4 linked regions of the Drosophila melanogaster genome follow. The gene in region 1 interacts genetically with each later gene. Each region holds a gene or a part of one and is shown in the gene's direction. Other genes may lie near its edges.

The links.
Region 2: of amos (region 1) and E(spl)m8-HLH, changing one suppresses a phenotype caused by changing the other (phenotypic suppression), as found in Drosophila melanogaster (one study listed by BioGRID).
Region 3: of amos (region 1) and hh, changing one suppresses a phenotype caused by changing the other (phenotypic suppression), as found in Drosophila melanogaster (2 studies listed by BioGRID).
Region 4: of amos (region 1) and ro, changing one suppresses a phenotype caused by changing the other (phenotypic suppression), as found in Drosophila melanogaster (2 studies listed by BioGRID).

What each region holds. Positions count from the first base shown.
Region 1 is NT_033779.5:18,595,611-18,599,213, reverse strand, and holds amos (absent MD neurons and olfactory sensilla), read left to right. Parts: upstream 1-2,292; 5' UTR 2,293-2,307; coding exon 2,308-2,904; 3' UTR 2,905-3,078; downstream 3,079-3,603. UniProt on the Drosophila melanogaster protein: Transcription factor involved in early neurogenesis; sensillum basiconica formation and maybe sensillum trichodea development. Promotes multiple dendritic (MD) neuron formation. Required for olfactory sensilla; regulated by lozenge (lz).
Region 2 is NT_033777.3:26,037,915-26,041,508, forward strand, and holds E(spl)m8-HLH (enhancer of split m8, helix-loop-helix), read left to right. Parts: upstream 1-2,325; 5' UTR 2,326-2,409; coding exon 2,410-2,949; 3' UTR 2,950-3,094; downstream 3,095-3,594. UniProt on the Drosophila melanogaster protein: Participates in the control of cell fate choice by uncommitted neuroectodermal cells in the embryo. Transcriptional repressor. Binds DNA on N-box motifs: 5'-CACNAG-3'. Part of the Notch signaling pathway.
Region 3 is NT_033777.3:23,138,493-23,143,580, reverse strand, and holds the start of hh (hedgehog), read left to right. Parts: upstream 1-1,674; 5' UTR 1,675-2,059; coding exon 2,060-2,539; intron 2,540-5,088.
Region 4 is NT_033777.3:26,876,227-26,883,342, reverse strand, and holds ro (rough), read left to right. Parts: upstream 1-2,171; 5' UTR 2,172-2,237; coding exon 2,238-2,778; intron 2,779-2,883; exon of another isoform or gene 2,884-2,997; coding exon of another isoform or gene 2,998-3,258; intron 3,259-3,506; coding exon of another isoform or gene 3,507-3,749; exon of another isoform or gene 3,750-3,864; intron 3,865-5,566; coding exon 5,567-5,801; intron 5,802-6,173; coding exon 6,174-6,450; 3' UTR 6,451-6,572; downstream 6,573-7,116. Other genes in the region: CG5500 (uncharacterized protein), read right to left, coding at 2,998-3,258, 3,507-3,749; ms(3)K81 (male sterile (3) K81), read right to left, coding at 6,833-7,116.

The sequences.
Region 1 (3,603 bases):
CAGTCGCAATTGCCTGACACTTTTCGGGGCGCTATCCTTGGCAGCCCAACAGACATTTTGTTGATAGCAAGGACTAGCCGGCCTGGTTAAACATGTATCCTTGTTGGACCTTGAAGTGTGCCGTAAGTTATGGCATGAGTTTTGTGGAACTGAGATCTAAGCAAAACATTTAAATATTTATAACTTTACTTTTGTAACCACTCTTTAAAGAGAAGGAAATTATTCTTTGACCTGGAAAAAAATAAAAGGGCGTACATTTAAATAAAATAATGATCAGCAAAAACATTTAAAGTATGCAATTATAAATTATATTCCAATTCTCCGCTTTCGCTAGGAACATCCATTTCAAGTTCTTGCTAGACATACTGTCTGGATATTTTTGCACATCTGTGACCACAACGAATTTACTTGGAAACAAACAAATCTTTGTATATAATAATTCATAATTCCAGATTATTACATGGTAATTATGCTCAGGACAATGAAGTTAGGTCTGATCCATTTCAGACCAACAATGGGACCAAAAAACAAAGATCCATTGTCAGGCATTGCAATACAAAGAGTGGAATCAACAAGTGTCGGGCGAGAAGAGATTCCCATGGAATTCCTGGTGACTCCGGGACTCTGACTTCTAATCTCATTTTCGCAATTTAGCGCCAACAACTAATCCGCAAAGCGAAAACGATTAATCTGGCAGGGAAAACCCAAAAACACGCAACTGCCAGACGTATCCGAGATTATCATCAGGTGACCTATTGTTGGTCAGAAGAAAAGAAACAAACGGGCATGGATATGGATGGAGTGCGGAGAGAGGTTCCCACTTTCAACCAGAACCGCCCACCAACCGACTACCTATTGTTGCTATTTTGACAGGATCGAGGTCCCAGGTAGCGCAGAAAAATGCTAATTGGAAATTCCAGAACCTCTTTTCGAAGGCGTTGCAGATCTTTAGGTTATCCGCGAACCTTTCTCCCGAAAATATTGCAGCATAATGCCTAATCTGGGCCAGGATTTCGACTAAGCTGCGGTCGCGTGGCACTCTTAACAAAGTGAACCGATCGAGCGATCGATCGATCCATCAGCTATCATCATCATCGTCAAGATCAAACGTCAGGATCCTTTGTCGGCTCGGGACTTTGTTCCTTGACAATTTGGGCGAAGTAACTGGGCCATCTTGCAGTGGCATCATTTGTACTCTTTAGCCATGCTCGGCGCTTCTCGGCCAGTGTTTTCCAATTGTTTTGCCCAGTTTCCTTAGAAATTCAGCGAACTCCTCGAATTGATTTTCCCTCTAATGCTGCGAGTCTGTGGAGTTAATTAGCCTTTCGATGCGGTCACTTGAAAGTGGGCTTGATCCCAAGATGACTGTGGAAACCAGAGCATACGAATGAAAGTATATAATGTGAGGGTGCAACATATTGCACCAGAGTTTCGAAGGACCCATCGAATGGTTTCAGCATGTTAAAGTAGTGTAGTTTTATTATCGGAAAAGTAACTCTTCAGTAAAGGCGTTAATATAGCACATTTCAAATCCCTTAATATGAAAATAATAATAAATAATAATAATGTGATACTTGCTTTGATTTCTTCATGCTTTTTTGAATTTCGAACTTCTCGACGTCCTGTAATTTGGCCATTGAAAGCAGGAGAAAGCCACTATTAATACACCCACTTAAATTTGACCCAATAAAGTAAGTACAACCGCCTAAAATCGAAAGTCACAAACCGCACAAGCACAATTGTTGCTCTTTGTTCTGTCCGAAAAATGGGGTTTGCATCCAACCAGTCGAGCACTCCACTCACTAGACCACAGACATGCAACCAAGATGATCCATGGCGATCTTCGATGGAGGCACACATTGTGGAAAATATTCCCATATGACAAGAGTCTTTTGTGCGTTCGCATTTTGACCTTGGCTAAATTTTGTTTGAATATAAAAAGTCAATTCCAGGGCAAGTAACAAAAGAGGTATGATTACAGACGGTAGCCAAATGACAGGTCAAACAAAAGGAGTCGACCTGTAGCTGATACAGTAAATACCTGGGAGAAAGAGGGAGAGAGTTGCAGCCAGAGACAATTAAACGTCTTGACCGCAAGCCAATTTAGGGCACGGGCTGTGCTGCTGATCCTCAAGAGGTTGGCAATCGGGTACCTGAGCGGATCGGATCAGCTTGAGGCAGCGAATCAGGTAACAGGACATATGTAGTGAACCAATCACGTGAGAGCTGAATCCTCGGCAGGCAGCTATATAAAGACCCATCCTCAAGCAGCCACTTCAGTTGTCCCTTGAGCCTGCAAACGTAAACATGTTGACCAACAACGAGCTAATGGAGCAGTTCTACTTCCCCGACGAAGCCCCAGCGATTCCCGAGTTCCTGAGCAACGACACCTTCCAGCAGTTGGAGCAGCTCATGTACCAGCAGGAGTTCAGCACCAGCGACAGCCAGTCGGATGGCGCCAACAGTTGCTCCTTGGAGATGTATTACGATACGCCGTCTGTCCTGGAATTGGAGCACATGCTGAATGCCCAGGAGCAGCAGCAGCACCACCTTCAAGCGAATCCCTTGGGCAAGAATCAGGGCAGAAGTCCAAGGTACTGGAACAAGCAGCAGAGGAGCAAGCCATACGACAAGCTGTCCACTTCCATGTCATCATCTACATCCTCCGCCTCTTCGAGCAGTTCATCGTCCGCGGGATTCGGTGGCGAAGTCCTCAAAAAACGGCGACTGGCCGCCAATGCTCGGGAACGGAGGCGGATGAACAGCCTGAACGATGCCTTCGACAAGTTGAGAGATGTGGTTCCATCACTCGGCCACGATCGGCGACTCTCCAAATACGAAACTCTGCAAATGGCGCAAGCATACATCGGGGATCTGGTCACGTTGCTGTCCAGAGACTACTAGCCAGTGTGGGCGATCCTTTATCCTTTCTTCCTCAAATGGAAGTTCCTTTTGCGGGCTGTGTTGCAGCAACACCTTCATATCCTAGTGGAAATCTTATAAAGGCTGTTAGTTTTACGTTTATTATCATAGTTGTACACAATTCAAGCAATAGTTTTATAATAAAAATGAAAATACAAATCAATTATATTGTTTTAAATTCATATCGTATGAAATGGTGGAGTTGGAATGAAAATAATGTTGTGCGAACTTGGAAATTTATATTTTGTTTGAATTGTATCTTTGCATTTTTTGCTGGTACATATACAGAATTTAGAGCAGATATTTTTAGAGAGAAAAAGGGAAAAATCCAATAAATATTTAAAAAAAAGATAGGAAGTTTATAGGTACTGAAATGTAAATAACTTATCAGACTTATTAATTTACATAAATATATGTAAAAACTCCATTTATCAATCCAACTGATGCCTCCACATTTGTTTTTATTCGCCACGCTTTCATCTCAGCCCGAAAAAGGGTATCCTTGTTATCCTTGAAAGATGAGAGCGGCATGGCAAGCTAGGCAGTGCGCCACGCCCACGAACCAAAACGAAAGGTCATAACATCAGTAACAAACCGAGAATTAATGAGTTCCGCTTCCGACTCAAAGTGATGGAACTCCAAAACAGAAGTGATTAAATGCCGCAAACGTCAACAGGTAAA
Region 2 (3,594 bases), on another chromosome or scaffold:
TTTTACTCTACATATATACAAATGTTTACCAGCTAAGAGATCTCAAGAACACAATATGAAAAGATACAAAATGAAAAACTTAAATACAAATCAAAATATGAAATGAAATTATACAAGAATCTTATTATTTGGGGAATCTATTTTACAGCACAATCCAATAGGGGATATTGAACTTCAGTATTTGTCTTTAAATTCCAATAGGAAGAAGATTCCATTGAAAATATTTAATGTTGGTATGCGCGAACTTTAAGGTCCAATATAATAAAACGATCGTGTGCACTAGCTTATTTAGGACACGTGTAAAAAAATGGACTTCCCATAAATTATGTTCATTATCTTAAAGCCCATCATTATCCTAAACGAGCTATATTAATAACAAGTTTCAATAACAGTTAAACATAATAGCAAAACATGCTCCACTAATGTGCACTTAGTTGTCAAGCATGCATTTAATAATAAAAAGGAATTTAATTTCATATTTTTAATGGTCGTTATTTTTCATTTGCACGATGTGTTTACTTATATTCTATTTCAGTAACTATTTTGTCAACAGACTATGAAATGAAAGTATTTGACATCCTTTAGCACAATACAATACATTGTTATAAACCTTAAATGCGGCATTATAATTTTTCCACCAATAAAAGGTCAATAAGAATGGTCAAGAAACATACAAATGAGTTTCAGCACGCGTCTCGATTACTTATCACACATTATACCCTATTATATTTAATCCCTTAAAATTTATTCTTTTACAATTAATCAATTAAATTACATCACATATTGAGGGTTGCAATAGCATTACGTAAAATCATAGGTAAGTGTATTCAATTCCAAATTCATACCACATTATTAACCTCTGACACCCAAAATACTATAAGAAGTGAGAGTATCCCTCCCCATTACAATAATCAATGACGTTGTTTTCCACCCATAAAATGTCAATATTAAGAACCCTCAAGATTTGTAAGGGAGATATACAAATCCATCTCAATTATTAAGTGAGGAAGTAGCATACCCTAGGCGGTTGCAAGGGAGGGACACAAATCCCATAGGTAGGCATCGATGTCAGAGGTCGATTAGTTTCCTAATAGAAACAGAGTTTATAAAAGTTAACTCGAAAGTGAAATTTACTCAATGGAATTCTAATACACCATACTTGCATGCGAAACCCAAGATTCCGAAACCAAAAGCACTTAATATTAGCTAATTAAAAATGGGTTTAGAAAGATACGCCAGACATTATAAGTTCCTATTAACTAAATTCAAAGAAAACTTTTGTATCCTATGATTACTTTAACAATCTTATTAGGATGAGCCACACATTGAACAAACCACATTTACCATAAGACAAGATATTTGAAAAGTGCACATCAATTAACCGGTGAAAAATTACTAATTACCAATTAGGGGGTTGCAGGAAGTTAACTATGTGCATCCCATAGGTAGACATTCCGGCACAAGGCCCACCTCACCTCAGCCTGGGCATTGAGTACTCAACCTCGGCCACGAGTGTGGCACGCGGGGCACACTTTCTGCGCCCGTTTGACCCACGTCCCCCTGCCAACCACCCAAAAACCCGAGATCAGACAGCCCAAACGATGGAACGATCGAACAACCAAGGCGACCCGGCACGAAGCCAATATGCCACATCCACTAATTGTGTCCAATAAACACTCGTCGACGGGGCACTGTGGGAACGGAAAGAGGAGATCTCAGAGTTCGCAGTTCGGAGGTCGGAGCAGGAGTAGGGGCTTATACAATCATCGTCTGCTGGCATTGATGAAACAATAAGCGAGTAGATGGCACGGCAGGATAACAATGCCAGAGCGGCCCACGCACAAGCAGTTCGGATCCCCTGCCCCTGCTCATCATGCTTCGATCCCATGTACCCATATATGAACGTTCCCATTCCAAACACGACAGGATGAGGCAGTGAAGTATGCATTAAGGATAATAACACCGGCCCAGAAAGCAATGCGAGCAGCCAAAAACAGCGACAGCTGCAAAAATGTGCCCTGATCCTTATACTCGAAAAAAAATGAGAAGCGGAGCGGAGCGAAGCATGTGGCCAAAAGGGAAAACAAACGAGAAAAAATTGTGTGAGAAACTTACTTTCAGCTCGGTTCCCACGCCACGAGCCACAAGGATTGTCCTCCGTCCTACGAAGTTGCAGCTGTTCCTTGTGAAAAAGACAACAACACCGGCGTTTAGCCGTGCGAGCGAAAGAGAGGGCAGGAAAGGTGCGTATCAGAGGGTGGATTTCAGGGACCAGGGAGCGGTATAAAAGGACGGGACCTCGCAGAGCAGAATATCACTCACGATTACGCCGTCGAGCAGGCAGCAACAAGCCGAATACAAAATTTTTCAAAAATTTTTAAAACTACGTAACCTACTACCAAAACAAAAATGGAATACACCACCAAGACCCAGATCTACCAGAAGGTGAAGAAGCCAATGCTGGAGCGCCAGCGACGTGCCCGCATGAACAAGTGCCTGGACAACCTGAAAACACTTGTCGCCGAGCTACGAGGTGATGATGGCATCCTGCGCATGGACAAGGCCGAGATGCTCGAGTCAGCGGTGATCTTCATGCGCCAGCAAAAGACACCAAAGAAGGTGGCTCAGGAAGAACAATCCCTCCCCCTGGACAGCTTTAAGAATGGCTACATGAATGCCGTCAACGAGGTGTCACGTGTCATGGCCTCCACACCTGGCATGAGCGTCGACCTGGGCAAATCGGTGATGACTCACCTGGGACGCGTCTACAAGAACTTGCAGCAATTCCACGAAGCACAGTCCGCCGCCGACTTCATCCAGAACTCGATGGACTGCTCCTCAATGGACAAGGCTCCGCTCAGCCCCGCCTCCTCCGGATATCACAGCGACTGCGACAGCCCCGCCCCCTCGCCACAGCCCATGCAGCAGCCCTTGTGGCGCCCCTGGTAAAAACAAGGGGTTAAGTGGCAGGAAGGTAAGGGTGGAGTGGCAATGGGAATGGAAGAACCAACCAACAACGCATCTGTGATAGCCCAACTGTGATGGCAACAAAATAGCAAAATTAAAAAAGCAATTAGCAAAACAAATATAAACCAATTTAAACAAATATCAAAACAATTTACTTTATTGGGATGTTGGGAGGGGATCTAAGGGACCAATCCCTTAGTTGGTGGCAATTGGAATCCTTATTGGTAATTAAATTATTACCAATTAGGAAATATCAAATAATATATCTCTGCTCTGACAATGGAAATCTATTTTGGCAATGACCGAAGTGAAATCTATTTTATAATAATAAATATTTATTTATAAATATAAATAAATTATATTTATTTATTTATATCTATTTAATAATAAATTAAATATATTTCACTTAATTAAAATAAAAGTGTTTTAGAAAACTAGCACTGATAATTTTAAGTTTTTTGAATCGGTAATGTCCTTAACGGTTCACAAGATTGAAAATAGCAAATCAGACTGAATAATAATAAACTGAATAATTATTTATTCATTTTTAAAAAGCGCGCCAACTGCACCTGAAGAACATGTACAGATCTAAGTTACGTATTTATTGCGGAACTTTTTTCACTTTTT
Region 3 (5,088 bases), on another chromosome or scaffold:
AAAGAAGGCAGAAATTTATGTGGCAGCCACATAGACTCTCGCACACACACTCGAATGCCCGATGGCCCAGCATCCAAGACTCGTATATTCCATACCCCCTTCCATTTCAGCTTCTTCATCTTTAATTTGGTTCCGTGTATCTTGTTGATGGCGTTTTGCCTTCTCTTATATCTTTTGCCGCCACGACCAGCTATTGTATTTCTCCTCTTTCGATTCGTTTTATTTTTTTTCTTCGATTCATTTCGTTTTTTGTCGAAATTATTATGCTATGCCTTGCATTCCAGAGCGTTACCAAAAAAAAAAAAAATGCTATGCCCCCCCATGGAATCCGTTACATGAGCAGGTGCACCTTGGCCCTTGGTTCTACCCCGTTGGAAAGTGACAATTTCTTGGGCACACATTGACGGGCGTATTCCACAATTCGCGCTTGCCAAGTGACAGTGCAAATAGACCTGGTGCAACCGCAAAAAAATAAATAAGGTCTGGAAAAAGAGCCAAAACAAAAGATTAGCGCTTGCCACAGATCCAAGTTCTGAAAGTGCGAAAAAGCTAAAAAGTTAAATTGGAGATTTCCCAGTTGTGGGGAATTTTATATTAGCCAAAGTCAACAGAGATAAAACTGGAAATTTATTGATTTCCAGAGTGCGGCATCAATCCGCAACTTAGTTATTTGCTGTGCATAAATATAAGGTACCTAATTGCAAATTGTATTTGCCAAAATCGTTATCGGTTTTTGCAATATATATAGACATATTTGCGATTATTGACATGGCGTTGAACGGAACCTCTGGCGGAGAAGGAAATTGTTAAATTGACCAGTAATTTGTAGGTCCTAAGGCGATATCTAATCGGAACATGACCACTACCTGAGGGGCATATGAATGACTCACTGGGTGACATAAGCTCGGAGCCTTCGATGATCATAAAGTACTTTAGTTTTAAGCACTTTTTCCGTTCCTTGAAGACTGGCAAACGGAAGCAGCATTGAACCCATATGTACTCCACATATCATACCATATACAATATACATATATATGTATGTATATATATAAGGCTGCCCAGGAGTCACACAATACACAAAAAACCGGAACATTATTAATTTACAAGCAATAAAGCGAAACGAACAACAAAACGAAGAAAGGCAACGGAAAAAAGTGAACAATGGCCTGCGATGGAGGAGTTGCAGGGCCAGAAGCGGCTAACAAGCCACAAGACTCGAGTCGAGTCGAGTCCGAGTAGTGCAAGTGTTAAGAGAAATTGCAGTTGCAGTCGAGGATGCTGCAGCTCTTCTGCGCCAGCAACGCACACTATCACACATCCAATTGGCAACAGGCACACACTTTCATCCATGGCCATAATGGACCGCAGCACACTATGCCAATGCCATCCAACATCTGTTGCCAACATTGCTTGTACATAAGAGCCGAAGACTCAGGCACTAACACATGCAAACCAGTCTTGTGAGTATGCTGCATCATCTGGTTGTCCCGCTTCCACTTCCCTTGCGCATAAGGCAGCATAAAAATGAACACCACAGCCGATCGAACGTCGAGTGGCATACGCATACAATCACAACGCGGAATGAACTCGAGGCGATAGTGTGTGTGTGCGTGTGTGTTTGTGTGAGCTAAAAGGCCTAGGGTTCTTGAAAGCACCCTCGTCGTACTCGTACTTATACTCGCATTCGTATTCGCTGCCGTACTCGTACTCGCACTCGAACACTCTGCGCGCACGATACTCCGCTCGGAAATGTCATTTGTCAATCACAGTGCGAGCGCAACGGTTGTCCGAACCGAGAGCTAACTGCCAGTTCAGCGGAGAACAGTTAAGACCGTAGTTAAGTCAGTTAGGACCTGCGATTTCGCCGACTCAAGTATTTCGATTTAGCCAGTTTAAATCCAAATAATACCATAAATCTGAATAACAAACGTGTCGCCAAATAAGCGTGTCTGTGTGCCAAAAGTGAAGTGCTAAATAACCAAAAAAATAAATAAAAAAAATTAAAGGAGATACAAAATCCAATCAAGAGAAACAGCAAACAACGAGTCTTAGATAAATCATGGATAACCACAGCTCAGTGCCTTGGGCCAGTGCCGCCAGTGTCACCTGTCTCTCCCTGGATGCCAAATGCCACAGTTCCAGTTCCAGTTCCAGCTCCAAATCCGCAGCGAGCTCCATCTCCGCAATCCCGCAAGAAGAAACGCAAACGATGCGCCACATTGCGCATACGCAGCGTTGCCTCAGCAGGCTGACCTCTCTGGTGGCCCTGCTGCTGATCGTCTTGCCGATGGTCTTTAGCCCGGCTCACAGCTGCGGTCCTGGCCGAGGATTGGGTCGTCATAGGGCGCGCAACCTGTATCCGCTGGTCCTCAAGCAGACAATTCCCAATCTATCCGAGTACACGAACAGCGCCTCCGGACCTCTGGAGGGTGTGATCCGTCGGGACTCGCCCAAATTCAAGGACCTCGTGCCCAACTACAACAGGGACATCCTTTTCCGCGACGAGGAAGGCACCGGAGCGGATCGCTTGATGAGCAAGGTAAGGAAAACCCTCAAACACCGTAAGCTAGTAACAAAATTTGTAATACATCATTGGGAAAGTTTCGCTTATCGGAATCATTGTGACAAAGTGACTTAAAAATTATTTGTAAAAACCGAAATATTGACTTATTAATCACGATTAATCAGAAATTACTTAACATTTAGTATTGTTAGCAACACAAATGAAGTGAAAACCCAGTCTTACGCCAAATAAATGACTAATTCTAGGAAAAAATGTGAGATAACTCTACCAAACGGAACTTGTAATGCTTTAATAGTACACTTAATATTTGGTCTAGGTATTATTTTGTGATAAAAGTAAGCCTACTTTGATATAGGAACACAATGAAATGCCTGTTAAATCTGAGGTATGGAGGTCAAACACACCATTTAGATGAGATTTTATTGCTGATATTGTTCCGAATTCGTCTTCTATATCAGACAGCTGGGTTCCGATTTGCGGCTAGGCTAATTCCGTGCTTATTGCGCACTGCACTCACATTTTGCCACCCGTCGTGGTCCGTAAATTCAATTGTCAAATTAGCGATCGCTTATCGCTCGCGCTGTTTTATAGCCCGTATCTAGCGATCGCCCGATGGCACGAGATTGTGCCACTCGGTTCCCATTGATAAACGCTACGTGGCGGAAAAGTGCCCAATCATTGATCGAGCATTGGCTATTTCACCAACTTTATGGTGGCGATGGCTGCCATAAAACTGGGCTGAAATATAGTATTAGTTTTGAGCATTGGCCATTTATATGATTAATTATGCATCTTATCGCCGCACTGCACTTGTTTCGCAAGTGCAAAAAAACAGGAAGCCCGATACTCGACGGCTGAACGGTAGATAGCGCCTGAATTCCATCGAACTAAGCCATAAAGCTGCAAAGCGTCCCGAAATCCAAACAAACCGAGCGAACGCGTTCAACAACCTCGAGCCCAATCGATCCCCGGGTCATCATTGCAAATACATAGTTTACTCAACATTGTGTGTACGCTTCGCAAATGCGTTTTCGATTTCGCGCTGAACAACAAACAGGGTATCGAATGCGGGAGATTACAAGTCCCGGTATTTATCAGGTTTTACTCAGCCAAAACCACCGCCCACCGCCCACCGCCCACCCTGTCCGCGCCCCAAAAGTGGAGGCACGCGAGCATTTGCCGCTTATCACCGGCGATTGTCTGATAAGCGGACTGCAGCCAAGTAGTTCGTTTGCCAATACACGGTTACTATCCCCCCAGATAGTCACCCTATATTTGCCAACATGTGTAGCTACATGCTGGCACTGAAAGAAATTGGGTTCGCTTGGCATAATACTATATGCTTGCCACTTTATGGTTTATGCTAAAAGAGGTATATGATGGTTTTTATGTGTGAAATAAAATGTGAAAATTAGTTTAGGTGCAAGTTATACGTTATACGTTATACGTTGCTAGTTGCGCTATATCGGTGCCAGAACAAAATGTGTGCTAAGATACCAGCTAAGGCGAAGAACAGCAGTATCTTATCGCCATAAAAAAAAAGGGGCGGGGGTAGTGAAAGTGGAGTGGGTGGCGGTGGGATGACCACCCAGTTGGTGGGGGAGCGGTGGTTGAGTTTCAAAGTGCGAAACAGCTAAAACAAGTGTTCAATTCAAGCACCATGCGACAACATTTCCAATTAGCCAGCAGTTAGTGGGGTGGTTGCGTTGCGGCCAGAAGTCGGCTTAGCACAGTCAAGACCCCCTAAGAGGGCCGACATTGAAGTTGCTGATATATATAATCGGCACGCTTCCCACCAGCTTATCTTCGTGTTACTTTAATGAAATTTTAAGTGTCGATGTGTAAAAATAGCCTTGTTATTGATTAGCGCCATAAACGAGCTATTGGGCTTTTATGGCGGACTTCCAGTTTCCTTGGACGATTTGGTGCTATTGAACAACAAACTAATAATCAGAATTGTGGGAAGACAGATTACGCCTGCCAACCGACTAATATAGTTGATTTAAAGGGTTTAGTATCGCCCACACAAGTGTTACAATGACTTTCGATTTGTTGATTTATTAGTCAGTGGTTAGTGTTTCGCAAAAACGACTTAGATCTTTAAAAATCAGATTTTACTGTACTGTAAAGTTAAATCGTATTATCGAACCAGTTGTTCGCCTGCTAGAGTTTCACTTGAAAACCAATTCCAAATTGCATTTGGCAACTGCCACGCGCCCATCGGGGGATTCTAAATGGTTGCAGCCATTTCAGATGTTACCTTGAATTTGATATGCAATCAAAAGGTATCGCAGCCTTTCCAGAAACTGGCGAACAATTAACAGTTGCTCGCACGGCAGCACAAACGCAGTGACACACCGAAGGCCAAGGTCCTTCGGGCGATTGACTAAACGGCCAAGGACACTCGGCGAGCATAAAAATCCTGTTGTTCACGGGACAAATATTTACAACGGCAACTGTTCCGCTACCGAAGTCGTATACATATATCCAGTGACATTGAAATCTTTTGCCATTCCTGCAAGGAGCTGCAAAGAGTACCGTGGAGTGCCAGCAGAGCGCAACTA
Region 4 (7,116 bases), on another chromosome or scaffold:
TAAGAAATGTAAAGGTATACAAATCGTAGAATGTTTCTAAACACATATAATATATCGATCTTAAACTATTTGGGTTCCAAACATTTCCTGTCTCAAAGCATTCTAATACCCATGTGCATTCGTCACTATTTTGTTTGCTACCACTTGCATTACTATTCTACACTCGAATTTCTAACGGTAACCGGACAACACACATTGCCAACAGCTGTTAGTCGTTGTTGTTGCGCTGTTAATTGGTAAGTACGCGACATTTCTATCAATCAAACATAAAAGTCCGCGTTCATTTCCATAACAATTTTCCCGTAATATGCTGCGCATGCGCAGGATAATGAAAACGAGCCCACGAGAAATCCCGCGGTGGGAATTAGGGAATCAAAAGAAATCCCACAATAAGCCCCTCGCGAATGCCTCCGCCCACGCCTCTGCATGTGCAAGCGGGATGGCCAGAGGCAGGAAGTTCTGCGTGCGAGCGAGAGGCAGCGTGCACCCTTAGCGCCGCTCATAAATGTCAATGGAAATGAAAAGGCTGATGTTATTGTTTTTTTTCGTTTGTTTTTGGATGGAAAACAGAATGAACAACATGTGGGTTTCGCTTTATTAAACATCGCCTGGAGGAGGAAATGCCGAAGAGGCTCTACACACGACAAAAAATATACAAACATTCTAAAGACTCAAAACACTATGCTTAAATATTTGCAAATTTATTTTAAGGTCTTTCAGCACAATGATGTGATGTATTGATGTATAAATTTAAGGTTACTGTTTGTAATTCATTAAATATGATTGTTTTGCAATTGATTCCAATCCAGTTTGATTACTTTTTAAGTCGAGGTTCATGTCTGAATTTCATTTTTCTGTGCAACCAGAAGGTATTTATAAATTGAGCTCAAAAAAATAAAACGCACGAAAAATGTTCAAAAAATTTGCATATGTCAGTGTAACAAAAAACCGAAATTGATGGATGGAAAAAAGTCGGCGACTGAAAAACACACACTCGCGGGCTTAAGCCAAATAAGCTCTAAACGAAACGAAACGAGTTTTAACAAAATATTTTTGCATTGCTCAAACGCAGCTCAGAGCCGTCAGAGAAACAAACACAAATGCACGCCGGGGCCAAATAAAAGCCATTCAATTAATATCCGGACAGAAAACAACAAACAAAAGTCGCTGCAATTTTTCTGGTTTTATTTGTTTTGCACTGCTCCCATTTTGTGGTGTTTGAGGGGATATGGGAATTCGATAAACAAAATCGAAATTGGCCAAAATCGAAGGGATGTACCTTTTTTTTTCTTATTTTCGTCACCACTTGTTGGTCTTTGTTTATTGTTATTATTCTTTATTGGCACTTTCGGTGGCTGCGACAGCTGCGCGAACTAACGGTACGTGCAAATCGGTTGCGCAGCGCAGACGGATTGGCAACATAACCGTAATCGTTTGTTTTTGTTTTCGTTCTTTCGATCACTATCACTTCATCGATACTTCTTTCCCAAAACAGCACACGTTTACGCACCGAAGTTTTGGGAACACATTATCCATGCTGATATAATCCACGAACTCGACTCGACTCGATTCGATTTGATTCGATCCCTCGCGCGCGCTATGTAAAATTACAGATAGTGGCGCGATTCGGTTGCTTATATAGACTTTTTGCCATTTAGACGGACCGTTTATGGTAGTTTGAAAAATGCATGAAATACATTGAAGAAGCAAATGCTGATTGCCCACCTCTAGGGATCTCGCTCTTAAGGTTGTTGTCCTCGCAAAGCACTGGCGAGGTAAGAAACTTGGCTAAACCAGGGACTGTACGCACACACTGCTTGTATGAAGACGTGAGTACTGCTTGCTTAAGAGTGGGCGGAGCTTATTTAGGCACACTGCTTGCCACCCTTAAGTGAAACTTTGGCCGGAAGTAAAATTAGGGGTTAATTGCACGGCACTTCAGCCAATCAAACCGGGTTTCAGGCCACACTTCAGGTGTTTAGTGGGAAGGGGGTCCTTTTTTTTTATTATTATTATTAGTAAGCAGCATTTTAGGCGCCCCCGCTGCTGCTGTTAATTTTCTGATGTGCCGCGTAATTTGCTTTGTTTTTTTTTTTCACCCAGTTCCTCTGCCGACGTCGACGTCAGGATAAGCGTCGCTTGACCAGCGGAAGTAGAATTATTTGTGGCACTTCAGTCGCTCGCCGATTACCCAAGTGATTAGTTTGGACAGCTAACGCGGCACATCCTCAAACGAAATGCAACGTCACAAAGTTGAGATTGGCTCACCCGACGGCTCGCCGGGCATCAAAAGGAGTGACAGCTTAGATCCCATAGCGAACACTACGATTCTATCCGTGCCGCAACGTCCCTCGTCGCCGCGACAGTTTTTCGAACGTCTGTACGGGCATTTGGAAACGCGCTCCTCGGAAAATGGGGAAATCGACGTCGGAACACACGCCCACAAGCCGCCGCCCTGTGACACGCCCTATCACAGCGATGGAGGAAGCGTCTCCTCGCCAGACATTTCCATCAGCGATGAACGCACCTCGCTAGCCGCATATCCCGCCTACGATTTCTATGGTCACGCCAAGGACTATCCGCAGCATCCTAGCCAGCAGCACCAGCAGCATCATCATCATCACCATCATCCGCCGCAGCTGGTGCACCAGAAACTCAGCTACGTGAGCCCGCCGCCAGCAATTGCCGCCGGTGGAGCTGCGAATCCTGTCCTGCCACACGCATTCCCAGCCGGCTTCCCAAGTGACCCGCACTTCAGCGCCGGCTTTTCCGCATTTCGTGAGTACTTACATTTAAAAAAGAATGGTTTCTAACAATGTGTAGAATATTTGCAAAGCTATGCAGAATCTTTAGAACTACGAAAATAACTTCTTCAGAACCTTAACTCTTACATGTTTATTTTGAGGTTTCTTAGTTCTTACACACTAAGTACAAGAGTAAATTTGAGCTACTACGAATTTGGTCCTAACTAGATATTTAGGTGAGCGGGGATTTGTACTACGGCGGGGGCGAGGATTTCTTTGGCTTTCCCTGCTTCGCTGCTTTCTCCGCCGCCGCCTTCTCCTCCCGCTGCTTAGCCATCTGGCGCAGCTCCAGGCTGAGGAACATCTTCAGGTTCGGGTCGGTGATCTTGCTCAGCACAATCTCTCGCGCCTCCTCATCGTTGTCGCCCAGCAGCTTGGCCAGCGTCTGTGCGTAGTCCAGCCAAACGCAGTTGGCGCAGCCCGACATGCAGCAGGTGGTGGGCTCGGGAGGTATCTGCAAACGATTATATAATATGCAATCTCTTGAGCCACTTTCCTCTTAGGATAGAAAGTTATTTCAGTATTGTGATAACAATTGGATCCTTCGATAATACTGCTCAATAGTTTTAGAAGTTCATAGAACTACACTAAGTTTTGTGTTACAATACTAGATCGATGATCCTTTCTTTCTAATGAACTACAATCTTACCAACTGATATTTAACCTATAATAGCAATGATAACAACTAGCTTACAACATTACCTCTATGTTTCTGAGCCGCTTCCTTCCCTTGGTGGTTTTATCTTTGGCTTTGGGAGTGTCAGTGCCCGTCGTTGTGCTATTGGGCGGACAGCCACTTGCTGCCTCCTGGGCGGCCGCATCCTTGCTGCTGGCATCATCCTGGGAGCTGCTGCCCGACAATTGGCGGGCCAGTGAGGCCCAACGCTCGGCGCCACGTCGCAGGAGCAAGCATCGCGGACAGCTGAAGCCCAGGGGAGCCAACATTTCCGCCCGATCCCCGAAAGAGTTCGAAAGTTACGATTGAAAAGGCCCAGAGGAAGTGATGAGCATTTCACACGCCTGCGCAGGTGCAGCCCAGATGAACTTGGTTCCGCAGGAACTGCAAAAAAAAAAAGTCGGATACGCAAAAAAAAACTGATTAATCGTCAGTGCTGCAATATTGAATATCCCCCACATCTTCGCACCGAGTGCGCTGGCCAGGATTATGTAAAATCAGTTGGAAAAAAATAAACGAAACTAAGGTGGGGCAACCAAGCAATGCCACACAATGAGCTGCTGCTGCTGCTGCTGCTGCTGACCCCCAAATGCAAAGAAATTAGCCAAGGAAAAAAAATAACCGAATGCCAAGAAAAAATTAAAACGCATTGAGCCGTGAAAGTTTTCGTTTACTTGCGGCTTTTTCGTTTGCTCCTGATGAGGTGGCCAAGGTGGCCAGGTGCGGAGATGAGGTTGAGGGGATATTGAAACATGGAAATGCGTCGGCTAATGAAAATGATCGCAGGTTAAGGGTGAATGGGTTAGCCATTCGTAAGCAAGAAATCAAAGTTAAAGACACTTTGAAACCTTTTCTACGAGCAGAAACGTATTCTACATATGCAAGCATTTTTTAGATTCAGAACAGTTGATATATTTAATGCTAAACCAGCTTGGTAGTTACTATAAGTACTTGATCTTTAAATTAACTAACTTACAAGCCAAACTTTTGGTCAATCTCAAAAAAATAACAAGTGTCTGAAAAAATTAGCATTGTAATTGAGCTCGGCAGGAAACCTAAAAAAGCAAACACAAACAGCAAGCGAGGAGGGTTAAGCGAGGAAGACTCATTTTTAGCCACAACAAACCGTCCGAAAGGACACTTGGCTATCGAATTACACACGTGATTTAAAAAAAAAAAAAAACCTTCGGCAAGGATCAGGGAAGAGCTTAAGCCCCTCCAGAGCCATCCGGACTAGGGGTAATCAAGCAAAAGCTAGAGATTACAACGCCCACAAAGCAACCCCTTCCCGGGGAAACCCCCCCTCCCCCCCCCCCACCATCCTAACACCACCGAGCAACTTGTCAGCTTCGCCTTGTTACATCAATTAGACTCTAAACCGCAACATTCACCATGGTGTGGGTGTTTGTGGTGGGTGTTCCTGGGTGGCAGGTGCTCGTTGTTGCAGGATGAAGTGGGGCATAATGTGCGCTTGGTTGAGCTTCATCGTCGGCGACACTGCGAATGCAAACAATCAAACGACAGAATGGAAAACTCGAAAGAGCGGATGATGCCGAGAATTTCGACGAGGATGATGATGATGATGATGGCCAGCCAGCTGTTGGCATTGTTATAACTTTCCCGGATCAGCATAGATTGCCGAAATGAAAAGCGTGGTAAAAAAAAAAACATAGAGAACAGAAACTACGTGGTAAATGCACTTTTAATGTGCACCACAAACGCGACCGACGACGAATTCTGGCAGGTGGGCGGGCGGAGAGAGCAAGAGAGGGAGGACGACGGATGGACCACGGATCGGAGTGGTTAATTATTTGTTTAACTGACGCAGCGACACGCAACCACATTCGAAAACGTTTAGTCCCGCTCATAACTTGATGGTTTGTTAATGTAAGATTAATTTCGCTCTAACATCTCCATTGTGTTGGACATAAACGAAAGTGGGTGGGCTGTGAAAAAATGATGCTATCCGACGGATGTCGTTATTGTACACACTGAATGGTGCGGGGTTTACATAACTAATAAGCTGATTCCAACTAGATATTATACACGTATTAATTGTAAGGATATCAATGTATTTGACTTTCAGTGGCTCGCAGGCGACGCAAGGAGGGAAGACAACGCCGCCAGAGGACCACTTTCAGCACAGAGCAGACGCTTCGCCTGGAGGTGGAGTTCCATCGGAACGAGTACATCTCCAGGAGTCGTCGCTTCGAGCTGGCCGAAACGCTGCGCCTGACCGAAACGCAAATCAAGATCTGGTTCCAGAATCGCAGGGCCAAGGACAAACGCATTGAAAAGGCTCAGATCGATCAGCACTACAGGTGGGTTTCCCCTTTAGCTAATTTGAATCGTTTTTTCTGTTTCATATGTACAAAGATATCATCGATTTTGATTGAGTTAAATAATATTAAATGAACATAAATTAATGGTTGATGAATAGCTCGTGAAGAGGATTTTAACTGGGTATTTATACCTGCATTTTCGAAACGGAAGTAATTTAGTGAAATGTCACTAGTTTAATTGATGGCCAACATGAAATTAACACGAAATTAATTTTACGACATTTATGCGCACACAGACCCAATTAGACGATATCATTTTTTTCCATATTTTTTTTTTTTTTTTTTTTTTTTTTTTGTGCCGGAGGGGGTTGCTCGAAATTATTTTGTACATTGATGTAATCAATTTTTCAGAAACTTTGTCGTGGCCAATGGTTTTATGAGCTCTATAATGGGTCAGGCTGCCACGACCATGCCCCCCGGAGGCGTCACTGGGGGCGTGGCGGTGGGCGTGGGCCTAAACTACTATGCCGCGGCAGCGACGCCGGCAGCGCTGCCCAAGGATAACACGCAGGATGCCAATTTCATCGACATCGATGACCAGTTCCAGCGCCAGCAACAACAAAAACAACAACAACAGCAGCAGCAGCAGCGACGTCGAGAAACAACAACGCCTATTAACATTTGCTAATACTTGCTAATTGATTACATTTATTTGAGCTTTAAACTGTTTAGATTAAGATCGAATAAAAGTCATTGTGAAAACATAACAGATTGCAGGAATTGCACTTTTCGAAGAAATCACTCACTGCTTGCCAACAAACTTACGTGTGTTGTTATGGACTCAGCATTTTGCACTTGATTTATTTATATAAGAGAGGGTTTTTGAGGGAAAACCAGGAAATTTGTTAAAAACCAAACAGCAAAACTAACAAACAATAATGCAGCCCTGGTGCTCAGCCAGCTGTTTCTGCTGCTAATAACATGGCGGAAACTATCGATAGATGGTTACATAGATGGTAACAGTGTTATTTCAAATTTAATTTATGAAAATATCCTAAATGAAACAAACATTATCCCCCAGTAGTTCCCGCCAGATAAATGGCCATAGCTTCACGATTTAGATGCACAAACTGGCGCCTTTTCGGAATTGGTTGGACATTCGGTAGCCGCGTTCCATTCACGGCATTCAAACTCAGATTCGAGCTGGGATCGTAGTCATCGGAGAAAAGTGTATCGTCGGAAGAATTGGACTCAACCAACTGGCTTCCTGCTCTTTGAGCCGCCGCCGCCGGCGCTGCGCTAGTGGTTGATTCTTGCTCCTCCGAGGATTGTGTTGTGGACACACTAGCCGCGG